4 linked regions of the Anolis sagrei genome follow. The protein of the gene in region 1 interacts with the protein of each later gene in a pairwise test. Links are inferred from orthologs where the notes say so. Each region holds a gene or a part of one and is shown on either strand. Other genes may lie near its edges.

What was found.
Region 2: the proteins of TEX11 (region 1) and ZNF414 interact in binary tests that used the Homo sapiens proteins (3 or more experiments, as listed by UniProt). The two-hybrid records come from large-scale screens. The link is inferred for Anolis sagrei from reciprocal best matches to the Homo sapiens genes TEX11 and ZNF414.
Region 3: the proteins of TEX11 (region 1) and ING3 interact in a two-hybrid assay, tested with the Homo sapiens proteins (2 studies listed by BioGRID). The two-hybrid records come from large-scale screens. The link is inferred for Anolis sagrei from reciprocal best matches to the Homo sapiens genes TEX11 and ING3.
Region 4: the proteins of TEX11 (region 1) and SNX7 interact in binary tests that used the Homo sapiens proteins (3 or more experiments, as listed by UniProt). The two-hybrid records come from large-scale screens. The link is inferred for Anolis sagrei from reciprocal best matches to the Homo sapiens genes TEX11 and SNX7.

The regions. Positions count from the first base shown.
Region 1 is NC_090030.1:21,732,847-21,740,049, forward strand, and holds the start of TEX11 (testis-expressed protein 11), read right to left. Parts: upstream 3,001-7,203; coding exon 2,988-3,000; intron 930-2,987; coding exon 808-929; intron 1-807. Other genes in the region: nuclear cap-binding protein subunit 2, read left to right, coding at 6,998-7,084. UniProt on the Homo sapiens protein: Regulator of crossing-over during meiosis. Involved in initiation and/or maintenance of chromosome synapsis and formation of crossovers.
Region 2 is NC_090034.1:58,245,192-58,253,037, reverse strand, and holds the start of ZNF414 (zinc finger protein 414), read left to right. Parts: upstream 1-4,844; 5' UTR 4,845-4,901; coding exon 4,902-4,904; intron 4,905-7,846. UniProt on the Homo sapiens protein: May be involved in transcriptional regulation.
Region 3 is NC_090025.1:128,895,958-128,903,344, forward strand, and holds the start of ING3 (inhibitor of growth protein 3), read right to left. Parts: upstream 3,018-7,387; 5' UTR 2,826-3,017; coding exon 2,798-2,825; intron 2,636-2,797; coding exon 2,564-2,635; intron 1-2,563. UniProt on the Homo sapiens protein: Component of the NuA4 histone acetyltransferase (HAT) complex which is involved in transcriptional activation of select genes principally by acetylation of nucleosomal histones H4 and H2A.
Region 4 is NC_090024.1:149,071,789-149,079,226, reverse strand, and holds the start of SNX7 (sorting nexin-7), read right to left. Parts: upstream 3,003-7,438; 5' UTR 2,949-3,002; coding exon 2,853-2,948; intron 1-2,852. UniProt on the Homo sapiens protein: Involved in the regulation of endocytosis and in several stages of intracellular trafficking. Together with SNX4, involved in autophagosome assembly by regulating trafficking and recycling of phospholipid scramblase ATG9A.

The sequences.
Region 1 (7,203 bases):
AATGATGTACCCAACCTCGAACCTCGAGGAGAAGTGAATAACACTATTAATAATAACAATAACAATAATAACGGGGCACTGAATCGTTTATTTATTTATTTACAACATTTATATTCTGCCCTTCTCACCCCGAAGGGAACTCAGGGCGGAGCACAACATACAAACGGCAAACATTCAATACTGGGACATTAATTCATTATAGGCATACATAAACATTAAAAACATTTGTCTCAATATTAAAATACACTGTTTAAAACCGTCTTGATCATCTGTGTCTAATCTAATTGGCCTGGTAAGGTTTCCTGTCCCTGCTTTATTGCACTGTCCTGAAAACTGGGTCCACAACCAATTTTTACTATCCTTCTGAAGGACAGGAAGGAGGTGGGCGAGCTGATCTCACCAGAAAAACCTCATTATTCAGTTGCTTTTCAGAACCAGTTTTATTTTTCTGAAAGGTTTTAAAGCATATTGAAAGGAAAGTATGGCATTCAATATTTCACCAAATAACCAAGAGAAAAAGCCATTTCCCTCATTCTGTGTGGTTAGAATCTACACAGCAAGGGTGTGTCTATACCATGTCACAAATACTTTTTTAAAAACTTTAAGAAGCATTCAAAAGGTTATTTCCTTTCATTCACAATGAGACAGAGTATACTACAAAGAAAGAAGGTAGACACATGCAGATTCTATAGCTAACTTGGTACAAAAAGGGAAATTACATTTCCTCAGTATTCAAACACATATAAACATTCATTCATCGCCATGCTCACATTCAGAGATCTTTACCAATGTTTGTACTATTTGTACCTGGGCCTTCTCCCTCTCATTTATACTTTTTTTATTCACTTGTTCTATATCCCTGAACAGCTTCTCAGTGTCTTCTTGTACATCAGATGAGGCTTTGCTGCTCATCAGTTTTTCAATGAGCTCTGCAATTAAAAGCAACAACAAAAGCCAAAGTAAGTTATACAGTAGCTTTCAAGGCAATGTATCATTTTCAAACAAACCAGCCTGTTTACATTTTCTAACTTTCAAAACAAACAGGAAACAAACAAGAAACCAAGCACATTGGAGGAAACAACAAAAGAAACCTTTAAAAGGAAACACGTTGCATGAAGACTTGGACATTCTAGGGTTAAGTACCGTACCTAGAAAATCTGAAAAATTTAAGGTATCCCAACTTTTCATCATTTAATATTAAAACATATTAATGATCAATGCTATACTATGAGCCTTTTAAAAAAATTGTAGAACATGGCTTTGAGCAATGGTTCACAACAATTTTTGTGGCCCTGTCCCTCCTAAGCCTCTCTAAAACCCTGATACCCTCCTTTTGACATATAATTATTATTATTCCAAAAGCAAGCTCCTATTTATTCAGATGGAGGAACACTCAAAGGCCATGAATATATTGGTCTAAACAAGCTTCCAAAGGACATGAACACAATGCAAGAGGAAACCAAAAGGACAAAAAGATAGCTGAAGTACTAAGGAAGAAATTGTTAAAATAATAACAATATAAATAATATCAATAGTGATAACGACAATAGTATTCACACGAAGAAGAAGATAAAGACAAGGAGGAAGAGGAAGAACAAATCTTGGGGAATTTGCCATTTATCAATGAGGGAATAATGACATTTTCATGTGGATCCTATGCTTTATAAGTGAGGAGGAGGAGGAGGAGGAGGAGGAGGAGGAGGAGGAGGAGGAGAAGGAGAAGGAGAAGGAGAAGGAGAAGAAGAGGAAGAAGAAGAAGAGGAAGAAGAAGAAGAAGAAGAAGAAGAAGAAGAAGAAGACGACGACAATGGCGACAACGACTCTGGCACAAGCCAGTAAAGGTGATCCCAGTGGTGATTGGCACACTGGGTGCAGTGCCTAAAGACCTTGGCCTGCATTTAAAAACAATTGGCACTGACAAAATTACCATCTGTCAGCTGCAAAAGGTCACCCTACTCGGATCTGCGCGCATTATTTGGCAATACATCACACAGTCTTAGACACTTGGGAAGTGTTGTACATGTGATCAAATACAAAAGCCAGCATAGTGATCTCGTTTGCTGTGTACCATTCTTGTTATGCATCTAATAATAATAATAATAATAATTTATTTCTTACCCGCTTCTCCTTGTGGTTCGATGTAATAACAAACCCTATAAAACTTAGAACTCTACATACAAATTAAGTGTTTTAATATGTGTATTTTATAGAATGATTAAGATGTTTATATGTTTTTAGCTATGTTGTAATGCACCTCGAGCCATGAAGAAAGGCGAATAATAATAATAATAATAATAATAATAGTATTAAATAAACTTTGATCACAACTTTGTGATAATTAATGCTACCATTCTCCAACTTTACTCAAAATTATGTTCCCGGAGCTTTTTCCATCTTTTTTGTGACACGTTTGGTTTTCTTTTGTCATAAAGAGACACAGACAGTGAATCTGGGTCCAAAGCTTCAGCTTCTGAGCTTTCTGACATGACGGTTGTTGTCATTTGTTGATGGTGAATGATACGTCATGTTCTTCCTATCATCATTCTCTATTCAAATATAACACAGATGTTTTAAGGAGCCAGCAAGAGATCAGGAAGAATAAGTGGGAATGGAAAATGTGAGATTTTTAGACTCGAACCTGATGAAGAATGAGGGTTTTTTTTGTTCCTGAAACACTTTGTGCTGGATAAAAGTTACCACAAGTCATGAACTACAATACTACAATGAGTGTGCGACAACTGCATCAAATTCAGTGTAACCGAAGTGTTCTGTTTCCTTGCAAAGTGCATTCGGTGAGAAGAGATAATAATATATCCTGTCACCCAATATTCATTTTTTTGCGGCTGATCCTCTTTGCTTTCTTTGTTTCATACAAAAATAGACTCTCTAATTAAAGTAATAATTATACTTTGGAGTTTCCCGACCCCCCTCTCACAGATTTCTTGCCACATTCATATGCAGAACAGAAAGTATTTGATATTTTGCACCTTTGATTTCCATGATCTGTTTTCCTCTTCAGGATTCGATTCGCAAAAGGAACACCTTTGAAATGAAAAAGAAATAACATTAGCATGTTTATCCACTTGTTTTGCCTACTGTTCTTGATTGTACCCTTTGCCATTTCATATCTGTATTTTAACGACCTTATGTTTTTTATTTTAACTATGTAACTTTGGCTCATGAGAAGAGGCCAGTAACAAAGCAAATATATTATCATTATTATTATTATTATTATTATTATTATTATTATTATTATTATCTTTCCAAAGACATCTCTAAAGTAATTTTAATTAATTTGTTTTTCTCTGTTAATGTTGAATTAGGCAGCTGTTTTGGCAAGACTCATAAAAGGGTTGAAGGCAGAAGATAAATATTTCAACAACATAGGTTTCTTCACATATGAAGCTCCATAGATATAGATATAATAATACAGTAATAATGATGATGATTATTATCATCATAATCATCATCTCTCTACTAGATACAATAATAATAATAATGAATTTATTGCTGCCTTTACCTACTTGATATAGATATAATGACGACGACGACGACGATGAATTTGTTACCCGCCTCTCCCTACTAGATATAGATAAAATAATAATAAGAAGAATGCATTTATTACCCACCTCTTCCTTCTAGATATATAGCTATAACAACAATAATAATGAATTTATTCCCTGCCTCTCCCTGCTAGATATATAAATATAATAATATTAATAATAGTATTAATAAAAAAGCTACCTGCCTCTTCCTAATAGGTACAGATATAATAATAATAATGCATTTGTTACCTACCTCTCCCTGCTAGATATAGATAATATAATTATAATAACAATAATAAATTTATTAACTGTCTCTTCCTGCTAGTTATAGATCTAGATATAATAATAATAAATTTGTTACCTGCCTCTCTCTGTTAGATATATAGATATTATAATTGTGACTTTATTGCTTGCCTCTTCCTGCTATAGATATAATAATAATAATAATAATAATAATGAATGTGTTATCTGCCTCTCCCTCCAAGATATATAGAAATAATAGTAAACAATAATAGTAATAAATTTGTTATCTGCCTCTCCCAGCTAAATATTGATATAATAATAATAAAAATAAGAATAAATGAATGTATTACTTGCTTCTCCCAGCTAGATATATAGATATTATAATAATACATTTATTATCCAACTCTCCCTGCTATAGATATAATAATAATGCATTTGTTATCTACCTCTCTTTGCTAGATAATAATAATAATGAATGTATTACCCGCCTCCCTGTTAGAGAGATATATATATATATATACACACACATATGTGTGAATATATATAAATATATATATATATGTATATATTCAATGACCATACAGAGACACAAAACAATGCAGCCTTCAATAGCAAATAGTCGCTATGATAATTATTTTGAAGACAAAGCAAATGCATGCATTTTGAAGAAGAAATTATCATTATTTGAGTGGAGTTGCCAATCCCATCTTGCTACAATTTTATGTCAATTGGATCAAATGCTTGTTTTTGGTTTCTTTTGCCATTTTGTCACATTTCTGTATGTTTTGAAGTGCAATAGACATTGTTTCAGAAACAAATGAATCAATTGTTTCATTGGGGGAGTGGGAGACGCTAATGATTGTTATATTGATGTTTAACTGTTGATGATGCTATTGTTTTAACTGTCCCATAATTGTTTTATGATGTTTTGCATTGAGTTTTGCTGTTGTTAACCGCTTTGAGTTGCCTGAGGGCTGAGAAAAGCAGTATATAAATGAAGTAAATAAGTAAATAAATAGTGTTCTAAACAATGATGGGTGGACATAAAAGTGTGTGTGTGTGTGTATATATATATATATGTATGTATGTATGTATAATGTCGACTCTGTATCTGTGTGAATAACAATGCAGAAATCCTCCATTTTATAATGGTTGTTGTGTTGTTGTTCATTCGTTCAGTCGTCTCCGACTCTTCGTGACCTCATGGACCAGCCTACGCCAGAGCTCCCTGTCGGCCGTTACCACCCCCAGCTCCCTCAAGGTCAGTCCAGTCACTTCAAGGATGCCATCCATCCATCTTGCCCTTGGTCGGCCCCTCTTCCTTTTGCCTTCCACTTTCCCCAGCATAATTGTCTTCTCTAGGCTTTCCTGTCTCCTCATGATGTGGCCAAAGTACTTCAACTTTGTCTCTAGTATCTTTCCCTCCAGTGAGCAGTTGGGCTTTATTTCCTGGAGGATGGACTGGTTGGATCTTCTCGCAGTCCAAGGCACTCTCAGCACTTTCCTCCAACACCACAGCTCAAAAGCATCGATCTTCCTTCGCTCAGCCTTCCCTAAGGTCCAGCTCTCACATCCGTAGGTTACTACAGGGAATACCAAGGCTTTGACTAGGCAATGGATCTTTGTTGCCAGTCTGATGTCTCTACTCTTTACTATTTTATCGAGACTGGACATTGCTCTCCTCCCAAGAAGGAAGCGTCTTCTGATTTCCTGGCCACAGTCTGCATCTGCAGTAATCTTTGCACCTAGAAATACAAAGTCTGTCACGGCCTCCACGGTTTCTCCCTCTATTTTCCAGTTGTCAATCATTCTTGTTGCCATAATCTTGGTTTTTTTGACGTTTAGCTGCAACCCGGCTTTTGCGCTTTCTTCTTTCACCTTGATTAGAAGGCTCCTCAGCTCCTCCTCGCTTTCGGCCATCAGAGTGGTGTCATCTGCATATCTGAGGTTGTTAATGTTTCTTCCAGCAATTTTCACCCCAGCTTTGCATTCATCAAGCCCCGCATATCGCATGATGTGTTCTGCATACAAGTTAAAAAGGTTGGGTGAGAGTATGCAGCCTTGCCGTACGCCTTTCCTAATCTTGAACCAGTCTGTTGTTCCGTGGTCAGTTCTGACTGTTGCGACTTGGTCCTTGTACAGATTCCTCAGGAGAGAGACAAGGTGGCTTGGTATGCCCATCCCACCAAGAACTTGCCACAATTTATTATGATCCACACAGTCAAAGGCTTTAGAATAGTCAATGAAGCAGAAGTAGATGTTTTTCTGAAACTCCCTGCCTTTCTCCATTATCCAGCGGATATTGGCAATCTGGTCTCTCGTTCCTCTGCCTTTTCTAAACCCAGCTTGAACATCTGGCAACTCTCTCTCCATGTATTGCTGGAGTCTTCCTTGCAGGATCTTGAGCATTACCTTACTGGCATGAGAAATAAGGGCCACTGTACGGAAGTTTGAGCAGTCTTTCGCATTTTCCTTTTTTGGTATGGGGATATAAGTGTATTTTTTCCAGTCTGATGGCCATTCTTGTGTTTTCCATATTTGCTGGCAAATGGTTGTTGTAGCTCTTGCATTTATGTCAATTGGGTTAACTCAGTCAGGGCTTTGAGGCATTTCCTGACTGAAATTCTGTTAACATTTGAGGTTTATTTTTTATTCCATTTACACTATGTATTTCTCTATCAAGGATATTTTTAAACTTCCCATTGAACCCTTTTGTATTAGTATTTGGTTTACTAGAGCGAATGAGAGTTGTGTATTTCGTGGTTGTGAAGGCCAAAAAGGGGATTTTCAGCAGATGGTGGGGAAATAACCTCCTTTTTAACACAATCCTCTGTGTGTGTTGTGTTGTAAATACATATGTTAAAATTTAAACCACTTTCTGACTGAAGCGCTCCTGTACAGGATTACCTCAGATCAGGCTGAGGTAAAACAACATGGAGGCATCTCCTTGAAAGAAGCTGTTTAATAAGAATCCCGCCTAAACGTCGCCCCGCCCACTTTATCGCGCGGGCCAATCAGAGAGAAAACACACCTCCCTCCTACTCTCCCTTCCCCCGCCCCCTCGCAAGTGAGGCGAAACGCCCCCTTGGGTGTGACGTCACCGAAGGTGGGCGCTTGCTTTGAGCGACAGCGGCGAGAGCCAATGGGTTCCTCCGTGTTCTTTGCGACGGCGGGTGGAGGGCCAGTGACGCCATCACCGGCGGCCCAAGATGTCGAGCATCCTCAGCACGACTCTCAGCGGCCTCAACAGCGACTCGTACTGCGAGATCAGCTGCTACAGAGACCAGCAGTTCAAGGTGGGCGAAGGGGGCTCTTGTTTGCTTCCTTGATGGGTAGTGGTGGGTTTTCCGGACTGTATGGCTATGTTCCAGAAGCATTCTCTCCTGACGTTTCGCCCACATCTATGGCAGGCATC
Region 2 (7,846 bases), on another chromosome or scaffold:
TTGAAGTTTCCGAACAGTCTTAAAAGGCAACCCCACGTAGAGTGCGTTGCAGTAATCTATTTGGGATGTAACAAGAGCGTGGACCACTGTGGCCATGTATTGTGTTCATCCATCGACTAAACTGTGGAGCTGTGTCTTGTGTTCTATATACTAAAAAAAATTATAAATCTCCCATAGTAGATGATCTCTGGTAAGAAGACATTTTTGGCTTAATTTAGTATCCACATTCGTTCCAAATTGGCTACAAAAAGATTAGCTAATGAAGGGGTTAATGGGCTGCCCATCGTCATAGACCCAAAGCACATGTAGTGAATATGAGAAAATCAAGAAAAAAATATTAGGCTAGATTGACATGCATTCACTTTATTGGATTACATGAAGAGAAATATGATTCCTAGGGGATTAAGTGTGGACAAAACCCTGGGGATGTTCCAAGGTGATAACCACTTTCATTAACAATTGGAACTCAATGTTGAACAAATGCTCCTTAGTCTTGATGGTTTTAAATATCCAGAAATCCAATTCACTTACAAAAGGAATATGAAAACAAATTACATTTACTTGTCATAATAATAAACAAGAGATTACTTTCCTTGATGTCACAGTGTACAAGACACAAACAACTTAAGGGTAAGGAATTACTGGAAAGCCACTGATAAGAATTCAGTCATGCACTTACGCCAGTTTCCATCATCATAGGCTAAAAACAAACCTTCCTTATTCTCAACTCATGAGACTAAAACACAATTCCAGCTCCCCCAAAGATCTGGATTGAGAAATTTGTACCTTTAAGAAGCAATTCAAAGATAGAGGTTATCCCTCCAAGATTCTAAATATAGCCATTCGGAAAGTTAATCATAGAGATAGAACTCACCTTTTAAAAGGTTCGCCAAAATCACCATGAAAAGAAACAAAATCTGGCTACCAAAAAACCCCAAAAAACACCAGAAAAACACCAGAATCAAGACAAGTAAATAAGGAACACCATTCAGAAGCAGGAGAACTCCAGACAACAAATAACCAAGTGCCAGTGAACACCTCCTAAACAGAGGATGCCTCCAGGCATAACAGCCAAGCTACCGCTATGCAAATGCCTTCACTGATTGACTTTGCAAACTTCATGGCTACTCAATAATATTCAAGCTTACTAATTGCAACATTCACACTTACTTCAGAAAGACAAGGGTTCTTTCTCCCACCCTGGACATTATTCCACAGGTGTGTGTGTGTGTATATGTATATGTATATGTATATAAAAAAATGTAATGTTCGTTTGTGGGATTAACAGAACTCAAAAACCAGTGGGTGAATTGACACCAACTGTGGACAGCATACACCTAACAACCCAATGTATGTCCTTCACTCAATTTTTTTTTGATTTTGTCATTTGGGAGTTGTACTTGTTGGGATTTATAGTTCACCTACAGTCAAAGAGCATTCTGAGCTCCACCAATGATGGGACTGAACCAAAGGTGACACACAGGACTCCCATGAGCAACAGAAAACACTAGAAGGGTTTGGTGGGCATTGACCTTGAGTTTTGGAGTTGTAGTTTACCTCCATCCAGAGACCACTATGGACTCAAACAATGATGGATTTGGACCAAACTTGGTACAAATACTCCAAATGCCCAAATATGAACACAGATGGCCTTTGGGGAAAATAGACCTTGACATTTGGGAGTTGTAGTTGCTGGGATTTATAGTTCACCTTCAATGAAAGAGCATTTTGAACCCCACCAACAACAGAATTGAACCAAACTTCCCACACAGAACCCCCATGACCAACAGAAAACACACTAAAACAGTGGATGTGGCTCTTAATGAGACATGCCGCATTATCACGGGGTGTCTGCGCTCTACACCACTGGAGAAATGACACTGCTTAGCTGGTATTGCACCACCTGACATCTGCTGGGAAGTAGCAGCCAATAGTAAAAGGACCAAGGCAGAGACATCTCCAGCTCGTCCCCTGTTTGGGTATCAGCCAGCACGTCAACGACTTAAATCAAGACATAGTTTTCTTAGATCTACTACACTCGCTGGAACATCTCAGCAAGCGAGAGTCCAAAAGTGGCAGGCCCAAACCCAGCACCTCAATCCGTGGGTGATACCAGATGAGAGACTCCCTCCTGGGCACATAGAGGACTGGGCGACTTGGAAGGCGCTGAACAGACTGAGCTCTGGCACCCCGAGATGCAGAGCCAACCTTCAGAAATGGGGCTACAAAGTTGAATCCACAGCATGCGAGTGTGGAGAAGAGCAAACCACAGACCACCTGCTGCAATGCAATCTGAGCCTTGCTACTTGCACAATGGAGGACCTTCTTGCGGCAACTCCAGAGGCACTCCATGTGGCCAGATACTGGTCAAAGGACATTTAATCAACTACCAAGTTTGCAAAATCTGTGGGTTTTTTTAATCTGTTTGTTTGTTTTGTTCTGTTAGAAATGTAATACAATGGGATGGTTGCTGATGACACGATAAATAAAAATCTTCTATCATATTAAAGTAAAGGTAGTCCAGTCATGTCTGACTCTGGGGTGTGGTGCTCATCTCCATTTCTAAGCCGAAGAGCCAGCGTTGTCCATAGACACCTCCAAGGTCATGTGGCCGGCATTGACTGTATGGAGTGCCGTTACCTTCCCGCCGGAGCGGTACCTATTGATCTACTCACATTTGCATGTTTTCGAACTGCTAGGTTGGCAGAAGCTAGGACTGACAGCGGAAGCTCACGCCGCTCCCCGGAATCAAACCTGCGACCTTTCGATCAACAAGCTCAGCAGCTCAGTGCTTTAACCCACTGCGCCACCGGGGGCTCCATATATATATTATCTTCTAACTTCTATCATATTAGTTATTATTATATTACTTGTAATAGTATTATATACCCAGCTGTGGCCACTTGGGGTGCTGTGTCCCTCCAGCCAGTTTCACATCTGCGCATGCGCTGCTGCTAGTTCGCCTCCACGCTGGGGTCTGTTTAGATTGGAAAAAGCCCTGCTGTTCCCACCACGGCCGCTGGGAGCGCTGTGACTTTCCTGCCAGTTTCCCTTCTGCGCCAGTTTCACCACGCCGGTGCTTGTTCGCCTATACCGTGGGGTAGATTGAGAAAAGCCCTGCAGCTCCCATTTCAGCCGCTGGGAGCGCTGTGACTTTCCTGCCAGTTTCCCTTCTGCGCTGGTTCGCCTTCACGCTATTTATTTATCGTGTCATCAGCAACCATTGTATTACAATTCTAACAGAGCAAAACAAACACACAAATTAAAAAGAAAAAGGAAAAAAACACACAGATTTTGCAAGCTTGGTAGTTGATTAGATGTCCTTTGACCAGTATCTGGCCACTTGGAGTGCCTCTGGGGTTGCCGCAAGAAGGTCCTCCATGGTGCATGTGGCAGGGCTCAGGTTGCATTGCAGCAGGTGGTCAGTGGTTTGCTCTTCTCCGCACCCGCATGCCGAGGATTCCACTTTGGCTCTGCATCTCGTGGTGCCAGAGCGCAGTCTGTTCAATGCCTTCCAAGTCGCCCAGTCCTCTATGTGCCCAGGGGGGAGTCTCTCATCTGGTATCACCCATGAATTGAGGTGCTTAGTTTGGGCCTGCCACTTTTGGACTCTCGCTTGCTGGGGTGTTCCAGCGAGTGTCTCTGTAGATCTAAGAAAACTATGTCTAGATTTAAGTCGTTGACGTGCTGGCTGATACCCAAACAGGGGATGAGCTGGAGATTTCACTGCCTTGGTCCTTTCACTATTGGCTGCCACTTCCCAGCAGATGTCAGGTGGTGCAATACCGGCTAAGCAGTGTAATTTCTCCAGTGGTGTGGGGCGCAGACACCCCGTGATAATGCGGCATGTCTCATTAAGAACCACATCTACCGTTTTAGTGTGGTGAGATGTGTTCCACACTGGGCATGCGTACTCAGCAGCAGATTAGCATAGCGCAAGGGCAGATGCAGGCATGTAGCCGGGGGGGGGGGGGGGGGGGGCTCGGGGGGCTTCAACCCCCCCCGAAATTCTCATGGTGGTTCGCGAAAAGGCCTTACTGGTGCATTATTTAAACTGTTATGTTTATTCATATCATGATCTGATCACCATACTCAATATATCCCATATGCATGGAGGAGGTATTGGGGTAATGATACAAAAGGTTTGCTAGGGTAGACCCTCTTTCACTCAGACTCAGCCCCCCCTGAAACTCAGCCCCCCCCGAACCCCCCCTGAAAAAAATTCACACACCCCCCCCAAATGAAATCCTGGCTACGGGCCTGGGCTGATGTCTTCACTGTGTCTGGTTGTGATCCCCAGGTTGTGCCAGTCAGCTTTCGTATGATGTTGTTTCTAGCGCCCACTTTTTGCTTGATGTTCAGGCAGTGCTTCTTGTAGGTCAGAGCACGGTCCAAAGTGACTCCCAGGTATTTGGGTGTGTTGCAATGCTCCAGTGGGATTCCTTCCCAGGTGATCCTCAGAGCTCGGGATGCTTGTCTGTTCTTAAGGTGAAAGGCGCATGTCTGTGTTTTATATGGATTAGGGATCAGTTGGTTGTCCCTGTAATAGGCAGTAAGAGCACCTAGAGCTTCGGAGAGCTTCTGTTCAACCATCTCAAAGCTCCTTGCTTGAGCGGTAATGGCACGATCATCAGCATAGATGAAACTCTCATTAAGAGCCTTCACGCTAGGGTCTGTTTAGTAAAAGCCCTGTCGTTCCCGCCGCGGCCGCTGGGAGCGCTGTGTCCCTCCTGCCTGTTTCCCTTCAGCGCATGCGCTGAAGCTACTCCGCTTCCACGCTGTGTTCTATTTAGATTGGGAAAAAAACCGCCATTCCTGCTTCGACCTTTTGAGGCGCTGTTTCTATTCCTCCAGCCACTTCCGGTTCCCCTCATCCTCCTCATTCGACGCTGGAGAGAACCATGGTGAGCCCCCTTTTTCTCACTTGGGGCCTTGGAACCCCCTTTGCCTCGCTTGAGGGCACCCTAAACTTCTGTGATACACGCAAGAATGGCCCCTTCACACGTTCACGGGCGAAGTTGCGTGTCACGAACTTGAGGCCTCTCCCATTGAACTCTATGGGAAGGGGGGAGGAGTCAACGCATATTCATTATTAGCCATTTGTTATTGTTTATGATTTGCACGATTGTTATGCTCCTATTAATAGCACTGTGATGGTTCTTATTACTTCTATTATTTCTATTATCATGATGACTGCTATTAATACTTCTGTTGTTATTATTCCTACCTTTATTGTTAGTATGAATTCTGCTGCCAGATTATTCCCTTTGTTATTATTAGCAGTTATGATTCTGATTAATCTAACTGCTATTAATACTGTTATGGTTATAATTCCTATATTGTTGGTATTAATGCTGCTATATTATTCCTATTATTATTATTACCAGTATTATTATTTTTTATTGCTATCAGTACTGCTATTGTATTGTCGAAGGCTTTCATGGCCGGAATCACTGGGTTGTTGTAGGTTTTTTCGGGCTGTATGGCCATGTTCTAGAGGCATTTTCTCCTGACGTTTCGCCTGCATCTATGGCAAGCATCCTCAGAGGTAGTGAGGTCTGTTGGAACTAGGAAAAAGAGTTTATATATCTAGGTTATTGTGGGTTTTTTCGGGCTATAGAGCCATGTTCTAGAGGCATTCTCTCCTGACGTTTCGCCTGCATCTATGGCAAGCATCCTCAGAGGTAGTGAGGTCTGTTGGAACTAGGAAAAAGAGTTTATATATCTAGGTTATTGTGGGTTTTTTCAGGCTATAGAGCCATGTTCTAGAGGCATTCTCTCCTGACGTTTCGCCTGCATCTATGGCAAGCATCCTCAGAGGTAGTGAGGTCTGTTGGAAATAGGAAAAAGGGTTTATATATCTAGGTTCTTGTGGGTTTTTTCAGGCTATAGAGCCATGTTCTAGAGGCATTCTCTCCTGACGTTTCGCCTGCATCTATGGCAAGCATCCTCAGAGGTAGTGTGGTCTGTTGGAACTAGGAAAAAGAGTTTATATATCTAGGTTCTTGTGGGTTTTTTTCGGGCTATATGGCCATGTTCTAGAGGCATTCTCTCCTGACGTTTCGCCTGCATCTATGGCAAGCATCCTCAGAGGTAGTGAGGTCTGTAGGAACTAGGAAAAAGGGTTTATATATCTAGGTTCTTGTGGGTTTTTTCGAGCTATAGGGCCATGTTCTAAAGGCATTTCTCCTGACGTTTCGCCTGCATCTATGGCAAGCATCCTCAGAGGTAGTGAGAATGCCTGACTACCTCTGAGGATGCTTGCCATAGATGCAGGCGAAACGTCAGGAGAAAAATTGCCTCCAGAACATGGCTCTATAGCCCGAAAAAACCCACAAGAACCTAGTGATTCCAGCCATGAAAGCCTTCGACAATACATTGAACATCTCTACGGTTTATATATCTGTGGAATGATCAGGGTGAGACAAAGGAGACAAAGCTCCAGCAGACAAGAGTCCTTTGTCTCACCCTGGTCATTCCACAGATATATAAACCCCTTTTTCCTAGTTCCAACAGACCTCACTACCTCTGAGGATGCTTGCCATAGATGCAGGCGAAACGTCAGGAGAGAATGCCTCTAGAACATGGCCATACAGCCCAAAACAACCTACAACAACCCAGTACTGTTATTGCTATCATTCTTATATTTATTGTTGAAGTTAACACTGCTGTCGTATTATTATTATTATTATTATTATTGGTGTTATTATTATTATTGTTATTATTGCTATTAGTGCTGCTGTTTTGAGATGGTTTTAAACATCTGATTTAAAGTAGATGTAACTGTTTTTAGTGTTTGTGTATATTTATAGTTATTTTATGTTCCGGCATGGAATGCTTGTCGATAATATGGTGAGTCCCCTTCGGGGTGAGAAGACGGAATATAAATGTAATCAATAATAAATATAGAAATAATAACAGTAGCAGCACTAATAGCATTAGGAATATAATAATTGTAACACTGATAATAATAGTCATACTTAATAATGGATAGTAATGGATGGCACTTGGCCTCTCTTCCAACTCTAGGATTGTATGATTTTATCCATCGTACATAACCATCCATCCATTTGTTTATTTTAGGAACGGATGGACCTTGAGCTCTTTTCCAACTCTAGGATTCTGTGATATTATTAGTCCATCTTTCTGTCCGTCCTTCCATCCATCTATCTCTCCATCCATCCTTCCATCTATCCATCCATCTGTCTAACCATCCATTTTAGGACTTGATGACTCTTGAGCTGTGTTCCAACTCTAGGATTGTATGATTCTGTCTGTCTATCTATCTATTTATCTATCTATCAGGGTTGGACTGGGTAGCCCTTGGGCTCTTTTCCAACTGTAGGATTTTGTGATTTTATCTGTCCATCCATCTGTCCATCTTAGGACTTGATGACTCTTGAGCTGTGTTCCAACTCGATGATTGTATGATTCTTTCTGTCTGTCTGTCTATCTAGTTTTCTATCAGGGTTGGACTGGATGGCCCTTGGGCTCTTTTCCAACTGTAGGATTCTGTGATTCCAACTGTAGATGCATGGATGGCTCTCTCCATCCATGCATCCAGCCATCTCTCCATCTATCCCTCCATCCTTTAATCTGTCCAACCATCTTAGGACTTAATGGCTCTAGGATTGTTTGATTCTCTCTATCTACGAGGTTGGACTGGATGGCCCTTGGGCTCTTTTCCAACTGTAGGATTCTGTGATTCCAACTGTAGATGCATGGATGGCTCTCTCCATCCATGCATCCAGCCATCTCTCCATCTATCCCTCCATCCATCTATCCCTCCATCCTTTAATCTGTCCAACCATCTTAGGACTTAATGGCTCTAGGATTGTTTGATTCT
Region 3 (7,387 bases), on another chromosome or scaffold:
ACTTGTAAGTGCTAAGACTCATGATTTGTATTTGGTAATAATATAACCTAGACAATGCCCACTTTCTAAATGAATTAAAAAAGGAAAAGGGGGGAAATGGAAAAACCTAGTAGTATTTACAAGACTTTTATTTTAGCATGACTGTTCATGGATATCAATCAACTCTTCAGATGTAAAACTGAAAAGATGTGAGATATCTACAAAAGCTACGGTAATATTAAAATAAAAACCAGTTCACCTTAAAGGTGCTGTTAATTTTTCTATTCCCCTCCCTGTCTACATGAATAGCTGAGATTCTGAGCTGTACACACATTTTATTTAATTATTTAAAATTTAAAATGTTATAAATAAATGAATTTTGTGTTTAGACTTCAGTTCCATATCTAAGATATCTCATTAGGTACACACAGGTGTTCCAAAATAATCTGAAATCCGAGACACTTCTGGTTTTGAGGGATAAGTTCAAAATTGTCCACCTGGGTGGCTGAGATAGTGATACTTGTGCTTTCGAACATAAATGTACATACATTTCAATGTACATAAATTTGGTTTCAGCACAAAATATTTTAAACACTGTGCATAAAATTATCTTCAGGCTATGTGGGTATAATGTCTAAAAAAATTCAGTGTTTATTTAGACTTGAGTCCTATTTCCAAAATTTCTCATTACATATACATATGTATACAGGGATTCCAAAATAATCCAAATCCCAGGACATTTGCTTGTCCCAAGCATTTCGGATAAGGAATACTCAAGATATATTAACAGAGAGAACAACTTGCCTCAGGGGAGTGTGCTTACTCCATCAATGTTTAACATTTACACTAATCATCAGCGACTGCAGAAGGGACAGAGAATTTCATCTATGCTGACGATCATGCCACTGCTCAAGCAGGGCACTTTGAAATGGTTGAACAGCTCTTCAAAGCTTTAGGTGCTCTTACTGCTTATTACAGGGAAAACCATCTGATTCCTAATTCATCCAAAATGCAGACATGTACTTTTCATCTTAAGAACAGACAAGCATCTCGAGCTCTGAGAACTGTCTGAAAAGGAATCCCATTGGAGCACTGCAGCATACAAAAATACCAGGGAGTCATTCTGGACTGTGTTCTGACTTATAAGAAGCACTGCCAGACTATCAAGCAAAAAGTGGGTGCTAGAAATAATATCATACGAAATCTGGCACAACTTGAGGATCACAATTAGATACAGTGAAGACATCTGCTCTTGCGCTTTGCTACTCTGCTGCTGAATACGCATGCCCAGTGTGGAATACATCTCACCAAGTTAAAATAGTGGAGGTGGCTCTTAATGAGACATGCCACATTATCACAGGAAGTTTATGCCCAATACCGCTGGATAAATTATACCGCTGGATAAATTATACTGCACCACTGCACCACTTGATATCCGTTGGGAAGCAGCAGCCATCAATGAAAGGACCAAGGCCCATTCTCTGCTTGGATATTAGCCAGCATGCCAACGAATTAAATAAAGAAATATTTATTTATTTATTTATGAAATTTCTATCCTGCCTTTCTCGAACCTGAAGGTGACTCAAAACAGCTTACAACTAGGCAGCTAATTGATGCCTAACAATCGTTTTCTAAGATCTATAGAGATACTCTCTCGGTGTGCTTTGAATGCAATTTTTTCTGCTTCTTGGCAGGGAGATGGACTGGATGGCCCATGAGGTCTCTTCCAACTCTGATTCTATAACACTTCAGCATGTGAGAGTCCAAAAGTGGCAGGTTAAAACTGAGAACTTCAATCAGTGGCTGGAATTGAGTAAGAAACTCCCTCCTGAGCACACAGAAGACTGGGTGACTTGGAAGGCACTGAACGGATCCTGCTCTGGCACCATGAGATGCAGAGCCAACCTTAGGAAATGGGGCTAAGTACTGTTTCCTGGAGGTGGGGGAAGGAGGTGAGGGGTGTAAAATCATTAGACACAAGGGAGAGGTAAAGATGGGATTGATAAGATCACTATGAAACAATATGTGATATGTATTCATTATGTATTTCAATATTTAAAAATGTTGGTGGATTGTGATGTTATTCTACCTGTTTCGGCAATAAAAAAAAGACATGGGGGAAAAAGAAATGGGGCTATGAAGTGGAGTCCACAACATGCAAGGATGGAGAAGAAATCACCTACTACAATGCAGTCTGAGTGCTGCCAAATGCACACTGGAGGATCCCTTAACAGAGACACCAGAGGCACTCCAAGTGGCCAGGGAAATTTTGTATAATGCCAAGCTTTTGTGTTTATTTTAAATTCTGTGTTTAACTATGTTGCGGTTTTTTAAAACTTTGTTTGTGTTTTTTTTTATATACATTATAACTGTGTTTTCAATTCACTTCTGACAAGATAAACAATAAATACACAGAGACTCCAATAGAGCTGACTTAATGGTTACTCTGGAAAACACTCGCTCCAGGCTCAGCTTTCCCTTTTGCATAAGAGAAGGGCGGGGGGAGAGGAACTAGGATTAAGCGCCGCCCACACCACGTCAATCAACACGCATGGCGGACAGTGGGCGGAGCCCGCTCACGTACTCTGCACCTGCAGGTCCATCTCGCGCATCTCGGTGAACCTGTCGCGGAGATCCATGGGAAGTTGTTCAATCACTGCGGGGAGGGAGGGGAGAAAGAGCGAGTCAGTCAAGGCAGGGAAGAATAGAGGGGGCGGAGCGAGGGGCGGAGCCTACGCTCCCTCCGCGCTCTCTCTCTCTCGCCCCTCCCTTCTTCGGGCCTAGCGCCCCCCTCCCTCCCTCGCTTCCAACGACTCACTTTCGAGGTAGTCCTCCAAGTACAGCATGGTGGCGGCGGCGGCGGAGAGGCCCGTGGCTTAAGAGGGTCTCGGTTGTTTCAGCGGCGAGCGAAGAGGGGAGTTTTGGGTGGGGTGAAAGGGAAAAAAAAACGCCAACCACCGCCTCGTCCCTTCCAATATGGCGCCGGCACCGCCAACGACACCAGCGGCTCGACTCAGCGAAAACAACATTGGCGGATGACGCTCCGGCTTCGGCCGCCACGCGATTGGCTCCTGGCGCCTCTGACGTAGGCCGGGCGGCTCGCGCCTCTCCCGTTGCTCTCTGGGAAACGTAGTTTCGGCAGAGTCCTGCATCCCGCTAAAGAAGAAAGAAGGAGGAAACTCGCCTTTTGGATTCGAGTTACAAGGGAAAGTTGTTCGTGTGTGAGCTGAGCCGAGGAAACTTCTCAAAATAATACCGTGCATGCTCATTTAGAAGTACTGTGTGACTCTCTGAACTCCTGTGAGGTTGTACTGAGGTAAACCAAGGCAGCTGCAGGTTTCAAAACTTAAGGAGCTCTTAGGCCCCTTCTTCACTGCCAGGTAATTCACGTTAGCAAAACAAAAAATCCACATTATTTATTTATTTATTTGCGACATTTATATGCCGCCCTTCTCACCCTGAAGGGAACTCAAAGCGGCTTACAAGGTATATATACATGCAATATATCATACTAGCTGTCCCCAGCCACGCGTTGCTGTGGCCCAGTCTGGTGATCTGGAAAATAAAGTAATGAGAAAGTTGGTTTCTAATATATGTAATTTCGTTATGCTTGTGGGTAAACAGTGTTGATGTGGAGAGTGTCTGATTTGCCTACTCTGGAACATGCAACATATAATTGTCCTTCTTTAAGGATCCCTTTCGAATCTATTATACTATATCTGTGTGAGAGAGAGTCATATATCTATTATTTATTTATTTACATTGTTTCTATCCCGCCTATATCAGCCCAGAGGCGACTCAGGGCGGTATACACAGTCGGCACACTTTGATGCCATAAATACATACATTAATAAAGCAAAAACATTAAAGTGCATTTAAACATAAAGGCAGTGCAAAATAAAAATTTTAAAAGAACTATGTCCTATCTATGGCTGGATGGGTCTTTGTCAGGAGGGCTTTGATTACGTTTTCTTGCCCTGGTGAAAGGAGTTGGACTGGATGGCCTTAAGTATTTTCTGTTGGTCGTGGGGGTTCTGTGTGGGAGGTTTGTCCCAATTCTGTCGTTAGTGGGGTTCAGAATGCTCTTTGATTGTAGGTGAACTATAAATCCCAGTAACTACAACTCCCAAAGGTCAAGGTCTATTTCCCTCAAACTCCATCTGTGTTTATATTTGGGCATATTGCGTATTCGTGCCAAGTTTGGTCCAGATCCATCACAGTTTGAGTCCACAGTGCTCTCTAGATGTAGGTGAACTACAACTCTCAAACTCTTCTGGTGTTTTCTGTTGGTCAGGGGAGTCCTGTGTGCCAAGTTTGGTTCAATTTCATCGTTAGTGGAGTTCAGAATGCTCTATGATTATAGGTGAACTATAAATCCCAGCAACTACAACTCTCAAATGACAAAATCATAATGTTTTGAGTGATGGTCACTCCTTGTGTTGTAAGACATTTTGTTGCCAAATTTGGTGTGATTTTGTTCATTAGTTCTTTTGTTTTTAAGGTACTCATTATGCACAGAGCATATATATTGTTGTTGTTCATTCGTTCATTCATTTCCGACTCCTCGTGACCTCATGGACCAGCCCACGCCAGAGCTCCCTGTTGGCCATCACCACCCCCAGCTCCTTCAAAGTCAAGCCAGTCACTTCAAGGATACCATCCATCCATCTTGCCCTTGGTTGGCCCCTCTTCCTTTTTCCTTCCATTTTCCCAACATAATTGTCTTCTCTAAGCTTTCCTGTCTTCTCATTATGTGGCCAAAGTACTTCATCTTTGCCTCTAATATCTTTCCCTCCAATGAGCAGTCAGGCTTTATTTCCTGAAGTATGGACTGGTTGGATCTTCTGGTGGTCCAAGACACTCTCAGAACTTTCCTCCAACATCACAGTTCAAAAGCATCTATCTTCCTTCGCTCAGCCTTCCCTAAAGTCCAGCTCTCACATCCGTAGGTGACTATGGGGAATGCCATTGCTTTAACTATGTGGATCTTTGTTGCCAGTGTGATGTCTCTACTCTTCATTATTTTATTGAGATTGGTCATTGCGCTCCTCCCAAGAAGTAAGCATCTCCTGATTTCCTGGCTGCAGTCTGCATCTGCAGTCAGCTTTGCACCTAGAAATACAAAGTCTGTCACGGCCTCCACGTTTTCTCCCTCTATTTCTCAGTTATCAATCATTCTTGTTGCTGCAATCTTGGTTTTTTTTAATGTTTAGCCGCAACCCAGCTTTTGCGCTTTCTTTCACCTTGGTTAGAAGGCTCCTCAGCTCCTCCTCGCAGTACAATATCAGTATTAAATATTACTATATTGTACTATACCATTATATTGTAATATCATTTGTAATATTACATGTCATATAAATATATAATTATAATATCATATTATTATCATATATTGCATTGCATTACATTATAATATAAATATTATATGTATATACAATATATTATATTACATTATATTACATTATATTATAAGCATAGTACAGGAGACAAGGTGGAGCTGGCCCCTGGCCCCCTCTCTCTGGCCCAGAGCAGCAGTTGGTGTTGGGAGGAGGGGTTCCCAACTGATGACATATGCAGGAGACAAGATGGAACTGTCCCCTGGTCCCCTCTCTCTTCATTCTGGCCCAGAGCAGCAGTTGATGCTTTGAGCTGGATTATCGTAGGCCCCTTCCACACAACTGTATAAAATCCACATTGAACTGGATTATGTGGCAGTGTAAACTCAGATAACCCAGGGCATATATTGTGGATTATCTGCAATATCTGCTTTGAACTGGGTTATCTGAGTCCACACTCTGATAATGTGGGATTTTCTGTCTTGATATCCTGGGATAAAGGGCTGTGTGGAAAAGCCCACAGACTTTTGCAAGAAGAAATACAGAAGAAGGAGTAGAAGTGGAAAAACATGGGGAATTTACAAGTGGAAAGTCTCACAAAACACTCAAGTATATTTACCTTCAAGTTGTCTGTCGACTTACGACCACATCATGAATTTCATGGGGTTTTTTCTTAAGCAAGGAATACTCACACCCACAAGGAGATTCAGACCCCTTCTACATTGCCATATAATCCAGATTATTACAGCACTTAATCCACAATATCTGCTTTGAACTGGGTATCAGAATCCACACTGTTCAATTGGGATTTTATACAGCTGTATGGAAGGGACCTCACAGGTGCTTTTGCCAGTTCCTTCCTGAGAAATATAGCCCAAGGGACCTGGTATATGTTAGCAGTCTAAAGGGAGGTATAGCTGTACATACAATACCCCACTTTTTGATGTGTAGGTTATATATCTGTGGAATAAAAAGCCGGAATGAACCAAAAAGGGATGAGCGAGTGCAGACGCATTTGTTTACTGTAATTCTGAACAAGTTTGTGAGAGGCCAAGCAGCAAAGAGGTTGGACCAGGAAAGGAGTTGGCTGGAAGCCTCAGCAGGACACACTACTTTTGCAAGCATTCTTTTCCCTCTTGCACTTTGGTGGCCACTGGAGTTTAGCCATTAGCTGGACTTTGGCTTGTTCCACTCCTTGCATCCTGAAGCCGCTGCAGTGCAATGCCACACACTTCCCAAATGTTTCTGTGGTGCCGCTGGCTTCTTGATGCTCCATGGCCAACCATTTGGCATTTCCTGAAGTGCTCAGAGCTTCATTTCCCCCCAACAACTAAAGGATCCATGCCTCTTCTACGCATTTGCAATCAGCACTTGCAAGGCTTTCTAAACAAGCTGAAGCGTTTTCTGCAGCCTGCTGCAAACACTATACATTGATGCTAACAGATTTGTCTAAATGGTATTCAGGAACGTTTTCCGGTTGCCATTTTTTGTGACCTCAACATTGAACTCAAGGGTTCTCATTTGGGGTTGGGACCCACAGTTTAAAAAGCAGTGTTCTCACAAACAGTTCAATGCAACTATGGAGGTTGCTTTGAACTATTTGTATGTATAAGCATCAGCTGTTTGCATGAGTTACTTACAAAATAAGCTAAAAGAGGGAGAAAGGTGTTTAAGCGAGACTTGCTTACAACAGATCAAGTGCTGTTTGATACTATTTCCCTCTATGCCATTTTTGCTCATTCAATCAGTGCCTATGAGGTGGGTAGTATTCCTTCACTCTCTATTCAGCCTGTGCTGCTTTTGACATCATGGCCAGTGAGTCTCTTACAGTATTAGAATACATCATGGCAGCTAAGGGCAGTGATAAAGCTAAAAGATCCCATAGAGTTCTCAATTTGCAAGAAAAGCTAGACCTAATCAAACTTGGTGAGGGAAGCATGTCCATGAGTGACATGGGCCGCAAACTAGGCGTACCTCGCTCCACAGTTAATACAATTGTTAAGAATAAAGCCAGGGTGATAGATAAAATAGGAAAGCTACACCGGTGAATACTAAAGTTATTAGAAAAGGGG
Region 4 (7,438 bases), on another chromosome or scaffold:
TTTTGGCCAGCCTGCTCATATTGAGCTTGTGGACAGAGGTGGATGTCTAACAATGCTCACAGACTGTGGTGCAAACTTCTGCTCTCCAGGGTTGTATCCCAGCCAGGGAAAGCTGTACACCAAGCTGGTGCGTCCGCCCTCAGCCATGAGCACACTACAAATAGAATCATCGAGTTGGAAGAGACTTCATGGGTCATCCAGTCCCTTGCCAAGAAGCAGGACAATCGCATTCAAAGCCCCCCCCCCCCCCCAATAGATAGCCATCCAGCCTCTGTTTAAAAGCCCCCAAAGAAGGAGCCTCCACCAGACTTCGGGGCAAAGAGTTCCACTGCTGAACAGCTCTCACAGTCAGGAAGATCTTCCTAATGTTCAGGTGGAATCTGCTTTCCTGTCATTTGAAGCCATTGTTCTGTGTCCCAGTCTCCAGGGCAGCAGAAGACAAGCTTTCTCTCTCCACCCTATGACCTCCTCTCACATATTATCTCTCATCATGTCTCCTCTCAGTCTTCTCTTCTGCAGGCTAAATATGCCCAGCTCTTTAAGTCGCTCCTCATAGGGCTTGTTCTCCAGACCCTTGATCAATTTAGTCGCCCTCCTCTGGACACATTCCAGCTTGTTAATATCTCTCATCAATTGTGATGCCCAGAATTGGACACAGTATTCCAGGTGTAGTAAACCATTATTTTACTGACACAAAAATATAGTATGACACAACAAACGAGATATATATGCTGGATTTCGAGATCTCAGTTGGCATTTGGAAACAATAAACATTGACAAAATCATGATCTGTCAACTGCAAAAGGCCACCTTACTTGGATCTGTGCATATCATTTGAAAATATATCACACAGTCCGAAATGCTTGGGAAGTGTTCAGCTTGTTATTTTGTGATACGAAAGTAAGTCATTATTATTATTATTACTAGCTGTCCCCTGCCACGCGTTGCCGTGGCCCAGTTTGATGATCTGGAAAATAAAGTAATGAGAAAGTGTTGGATTCTAATATATGTAATTTCTATATGCTTGTGAGTAAACAGTATTTCTTGTTGTTTCTTTGTCAGTGTTGATGTGAAGATTGTCTGGTTTGCCTACTCTGGAACATGCAACATATCATTGTCCTTCTTTAGGGGTCCCTTTCAAATCTATGATACTATATCTGTGTGTGTGTGTGTGTGTGAATCATATATATCTATGTATATGTATGGCTGGATGGCTGTCAGGAGTGCTTTGATTATGTCTTCTTGCCCTGGTGAAGGGAGTTGGACTGGATGGCCTTAAGTATTTTCTGTTGGTCATGGAGGTTCTGTGTGGGAAGTTTGCCACAATTCGGTCGTTGGTGGGGTTCAGAATGCTCTTTGATTGTAGGTGAACTATAAATCCCAGTAACTACAACTCCCAAATATCAAGGTCTATTTCCCCCAAACTTCATCTGTGTTCATATTTGGACATATAGAACATTCATGCCCAGTTTGGTCCAGACCCGTCATTGTTTGAGTCCAAAGTGTTCTCTGGATGTAGGTGAACTACAACTCTCAAACTCAAGGTCAATGCCCACCAAAACTTTCTAGTGTTTTCTGTTGGTCTTGGAAGTCCTGTGTGCCAAGTTTGGTTCAATTCCATCGTTAGTGGAGTTCAGAATGCCCTTTGATTGTAGGTGAACTATAAATCCCAGCAAATACAACTCCCAAATGACAAAATCATAAGTTTTTGAGTGATGGTCACTCCTTGTATTGTGAGATGTTTTGTTGCAAAATTAGGTGTGATTTCGTTCATTGTTTTTTGTTTTGTTTTTAAGGTACTCATTATGCACAGAGCATTTATATATATATAGATTATTATTTGAAACACAACAAGATGAGTCCACAGCAGACACTCTGTTGGCTGTTGCATTGGATCACACGTCGGACACTTCCCAAGTGTCTAGGACTGTGTGATGTATTGGTGAATAATGTGTGCAGATCCCACTAAGGTGGCCTTTTGCAGCTGGCAGCTGGTAATTTTGTCAGTGCCTATTGTGCTTAAGTGCAAGCCAAGGTCTTTAGGCAGTGCACCCAGTGTGCTGATCACCACTGGGACCACCTTTGCTGGCTTGTGCCAGAGTCATCGTCATCGTTGTCATCATCATCATCATCATCAGATGACTGGAGGCCCACACACACACACACACAAGAAAACCCTATGGGCACTTTAATAAGCTTGGAAGGGGCAAGCTTATTTTCTGCTGCTGTTGAAACTAGGGAAGGGAGGAATTGATTCACACTGCAGGGAAAGAGATTCTCCCTAAACGTTGGGAAGGACTTCCGCATGGAGGTGTTTGACAGTGGAATGCACTGCCTTTGAACCTGTCTTCGGCTGTTTTGAAAAGCAGGTTGTGTGGGGCGTGCTTTGGTGGTGTCTTCCTGCCTGGCAGAATGGGGGTGGACCGGCCTTTCTCTTGCGGTCTCTTCCAAGTTGAGGAGTCTATGAAAGACTTGCCCTAAATCGACAGGCGAGGGAAAGCCACAGACAGAGAAAAGCAACGAGGAAGGCGTGCCGAGGCAGGCGGATTTTGAAGCGCTTGGGAAACTTCTGTCCCGCAGACGGAGGGGGAACTCTAGGTTTGTTTGTGTGTTTTCGTGTCCAGAGGAAGCTTAAGGCACAGGGGTGCGGGATCTTCAAGGAGGAGCTCCTTGGCGATGCTGGGAACGAGGGCAGAGCCATTTCGCCCCCATGGCTAGGCGTGGAAAAGCTCCACGGGCGGAGAGACTCTCCTGCTTCCCCGTAGGGCACTCCAGGCGCCTGTTTCTTCCCAAACGGGAGTGGAAAGCCCACGCAGACCTGCGACCCCCTTTCTCATTCCCCTAGTGAATACCTTGCTGAATACTTCCAGGTCCTCGTCGTCGTCCAAGTCCAGGAGCAGCGGGGCAGCCGAGTCCCCCGCCACGTCGCCGCCGCCCTCGGGCTCCATCGCCTTCCCCTCGCTGGATCTCCCTCTTGGAGGAGGAGGAGGAGGAGGAGGGCGATCCCCGGTTGGAGCCCCTCCTCTCGCCTTGGCTATTGGTCGCCTCCTCGCTTCGCCTTCCCTTTCCTGCGCGGCTGGGAAGGAAAGAAGCGAGGGAAGGAGGGGAAAGAGCCAGGAATGGCGGGGGAGGGAGGGAGGGAAGGAAGAGGGGATGGAGTCCGCGAAACCGCCCCCAATTCCCACTTTGGAGGGTCGCTTTGGAAAGCGGGGGCGGGGGGAGAGATCCAGACTTGACGAGTTGGTCCCAGCCTACTCTTCTCTAGTTTAGGAGGAGCAATCCTGCTTAATGCTTTGCAATCTTACTTTCCTAGCTTACTTTAAAACGCCTCTCTTTCTTCTTTCCAGCTGCCTCATTGGCTTTCTTCAGACTGAAATGAAAGTAGAACTCATCCCTCTGTATCAGTGGTTTCCAACCTTTTTTTTTGACCAGGAACCACTTTGATCAGGAACTACTTTGATCAGGGACCAGAGAGCACATTGACCAGGGACCACTTTGACCAGGGACCACTTTGACCTTTGACCAGGGACCACTTAGACCAGGGACCACTTTGACCAGGAACCACTTTGAAGCAGGGGCCATTTTGACCAGGGATCACTTTGACCAAAGACCACTCTGACCAGGGACCACTTTGACCAGGAGCCATTTTAACCAGGAACCACTTTGACCAGGAACCATTGTAACGAGGGACCACTATGACCAGGGACCACTACTTGGACCAGGGACCACTTTGACCAAGGACCATTTTGACCAGGGATCACTTTGACCAAGGACCACTCTGATCAGGGACCACTTTGACCAGGAACCATTTTAACCAGGGACCACTATGACCAGGGACCACTACTTGGACCAGGGACCACTATGACCAGGGACCACTACTTGGACCAGGGACCACTTTGACCAGGGACCATTTTGACCAGGGATTACTTTGGCCAGGGACCGCCCTCCAACATTAGTACCAAAAGACTGAATCAGTTTTTGGTCAACTTTGTGGGATTATTTGAGGCACTAATTCAGAAAATTGTATTGGATAGACCACATCAGCTCTAATTTCTGATACAGAATATATGCTATCCAGTAGTTGCCATCTGCTCACCCACAGAAAACCATATTTAATAATCTAGATTTGTTGTGGTCCATCCAATGCAATTTTCTGAATCAGCACCCAAAATAACCCCACAAACCTTCCCAATAAACAACCCAAGGAAATGTCCTGAAATTATTCCATGCAAAATCCAACTTTTCTGTAAGGTAGATATTAGAAGGTAAAGGTAAAAGTTTCCCCATGACATTAAGTCCAGTCATATCCAACTCTGGGGGTTGGTGCTCACTTCAATTCTAAGCTGAAGAGCTGGCATTGTCCGTAGATGCCTCCAAGGTCATGTGGCCAGCATGACTGCATGGAGCACTGTTACCTTCCCGCCAGAGCGGTACCTATTGATCTACTCACATTTGCATGTTTTCTAGGTTGGCAGAAACCAGGGCTAACAGTGGGAGCTCACACCGCTCCCCGGATTCGAACCTGCGACCTTTCGATAAGCAAGTTCAGCAGCTCAGCAGTTTAACCCACTGCACCACCGGAGGCTCCAATGATTAGATTTTTTATTCTGCTACATGAAAGTGACACTTTTTTTTTGCTCAGTTTCTTCTATGTACTAAATTGGAGATTAGTCTTCCTGACAGAAGCACGGCTTTACCCAACCAAAGTGCATGGCTGACACAGGAATGTGTGTATCTCCATTTTTCCAAGTGATTAGCTGGGAACTAAAGGATGCAACATTGCATTTATAGAGTGCCAATGGCAACATTTTTAAAACCCTTGCATAGCTCAGGCCTCAGTTGATGCTATCTGCAGTATTTCTGAATAAATGAAGCACTCACCTCTAGGATTTAAGGATGGCTGACACACATTTTCAAGCTTTTTATTTTTTTGGAATGCCTCACAATCAGTGAAACCACTTCTCCAGCTGCCAATGAAGGATCTATGTACTATCTCTTGATCATTGTTTTGAGGGTAGCATTTGTCCCCAAATATAAATCCACCACCAGGTATGATAAGCACAGTGTGAGGATCTTCTTGGTGGCTGAAACTCTCTTTGTAGGAAGGATAGAGCGTGTCTTTCTGCTTCCTCTTTTTCTGCCATTAGATTTTTTTAAAATCCCAGTAGTGTCTTGTGACTGTGTCCTTATATACTTTCAAGTCATCTGTCAACTCATGGTGACTCTATGGATTTTCTTAGGCAAGGGATACCCAGTGGTAGTTTTGCTACTACCTTCCTCTGAAATATAGCCAGCAACATAAAATCCATAGAATAACACATAATTGAAAGCCTTTCCTGCCAATAGTATTCATTGGCAGGAAAGGCATTCAATTATCTGTTATTCTATGGATTTTATTATTTTACTCTATCTATCTAGACACAATAAAACTGAAAATATGCATGTGTGTATGTGACTGGGGTGTCCCCTTACACAGACAAGCTCCCACCTCCACAAACAGCTATTGCTGTCACTATACAGGAGATACCAATAGGCCTTCCTCCAATAACATTACAGGTTACAACGAGTACCATGAAAATGTGCAAGAGCCCTGCCAATGTCCTTCACCAAAACCACACTTCCCACCACCCAAGTAAAAGCTTTCATTCAGGGACTAATTCACCCTAGTTTTGATGTGTTTCCTCCACCACAGGCATCCTAGTGTTTCTTACTCTCACCAATGGTGTGAAATTTGCTTAACCCCACCCACTGCCTCTCCCTTAACCCTTTCCTATTCTTTTCTATGGCACACAGAAAACAGAGGAATCGATCAGCAACTGAACATACTAGAGAGGTTTGGGGAGAATGCACTATGACTTATAGGAATTGTAGGTACTGGGATGCATAGTTCACCTGCAATCTAAGAACTGCAGTCTGAACCCTACCAACGATAGAACTGGAACAAACTTGGCACACAGAACCCCCATGATCAATAAAAAACACTGGAGGTCTTTGGAGGGAGTTCTGGGAGTTGTAGTTCACTTACATCCAGAGTGCACTATAAACTCAAACACATATAGATCTGAGCCAAACTTGGCATGCATACCTGATATGCCCAAATTTGAATACTGGTGAGTTTTGAGGGGAACTGGCCTGGACTGTTTAGAGTTGTAGGTACTGGGGTTTATAGTTCACCTGCAATCTATGAGCACTCTGAACTCCACCAAAATGGAATTGGATTAAACTTGGCGCATAGAGCCCCAATGACCAGCAAACATACTGGAGGTCTTGGGGGAAAATTCACCTTGATTTGGGGGAGTTGAAGTTCACCTACATCCAGAGAGCACTGTGAACTCAAACACTGGTGGATCTGGACCAACCTTGGCACACATACCTCATATGCCGAAATTTGATTACTGGAGGGGTTTAGGGGCGGGGGGAACTAACCTTCCTTTCTGGAAGTAGTAGTTCACCCACAACCAGAGAAACTGTGACCTCCGCCAATGACTAATCTGGACCAAACTTGGCCAGACCTACTGGGAGGGTTTAAGGGGACTGACTCACCATAGTGGGAGTTGTAGTTTACCCTGCAGTGAGAGAACACACTGAACCCCCAGCTGACATCAGATCTGGAACAAACTTGGCACGCAGATTCAACATGGCCAACTGTTCATACAGGCAGGGTTAGGGTGTGATTGACCTTGGATCTGGGAGTTGTAGTTCACCCTAATCCAGAGAGCACTGAACCCAGCCAATGTTGGATCTCGACCAAATTTGGCACACAGACCCAACATGGCTAACTATGAATACTGTTGGAGTTTGGGAAGGATAGACCCATGATTTTGGGAATTGTAGTTCACCCACTTATGAATTTTCTAATGGGAGCATTCATAACAAACAAAAGCGGCCTTACTGGTACATTATTTAAACTGTTATGTTTATTCATATCATGATCTGATCACCATGCTCAATATATCCCATATGCATGGGAGTATTGGGGTAATGATACAAAAGGTTTGCTAGGGTAGACCCTCTTTCACTCAGACTCAGCCCCCCGAATCAAACTCACTCTCCCCCCCCCCCCCCAATCAAAATCCTGGCTACGGGCCTGCAAAGTGATATTACCTAAAACCCCAAAACAAACAATACTTTTTTGAATAACTGGAGCATTGCCAGGTCCCCAAGCTAGTATATAATCTCTTCAATATTAAGTGAGTCAGAAGTCAGTTGGGTTTAAAACAGCTGAGAAAGAAAGGGAAATGGAAAATTGTGCTACGTGCCCCCTAAAGTATTTTGGGAGGGTTTGCACATTCTTTTGGACTCAATGAGGGGGGACCCCCCCCCCTCGCTCTATATTCCTAGGCTACTTTTCTGTGGCTTTAAACAAGGATCTTTATCTGCCCTAGCCTTGCAAAACATTTGTTCAGATAGCTCTATCAAAACAACCACTTAGATAATT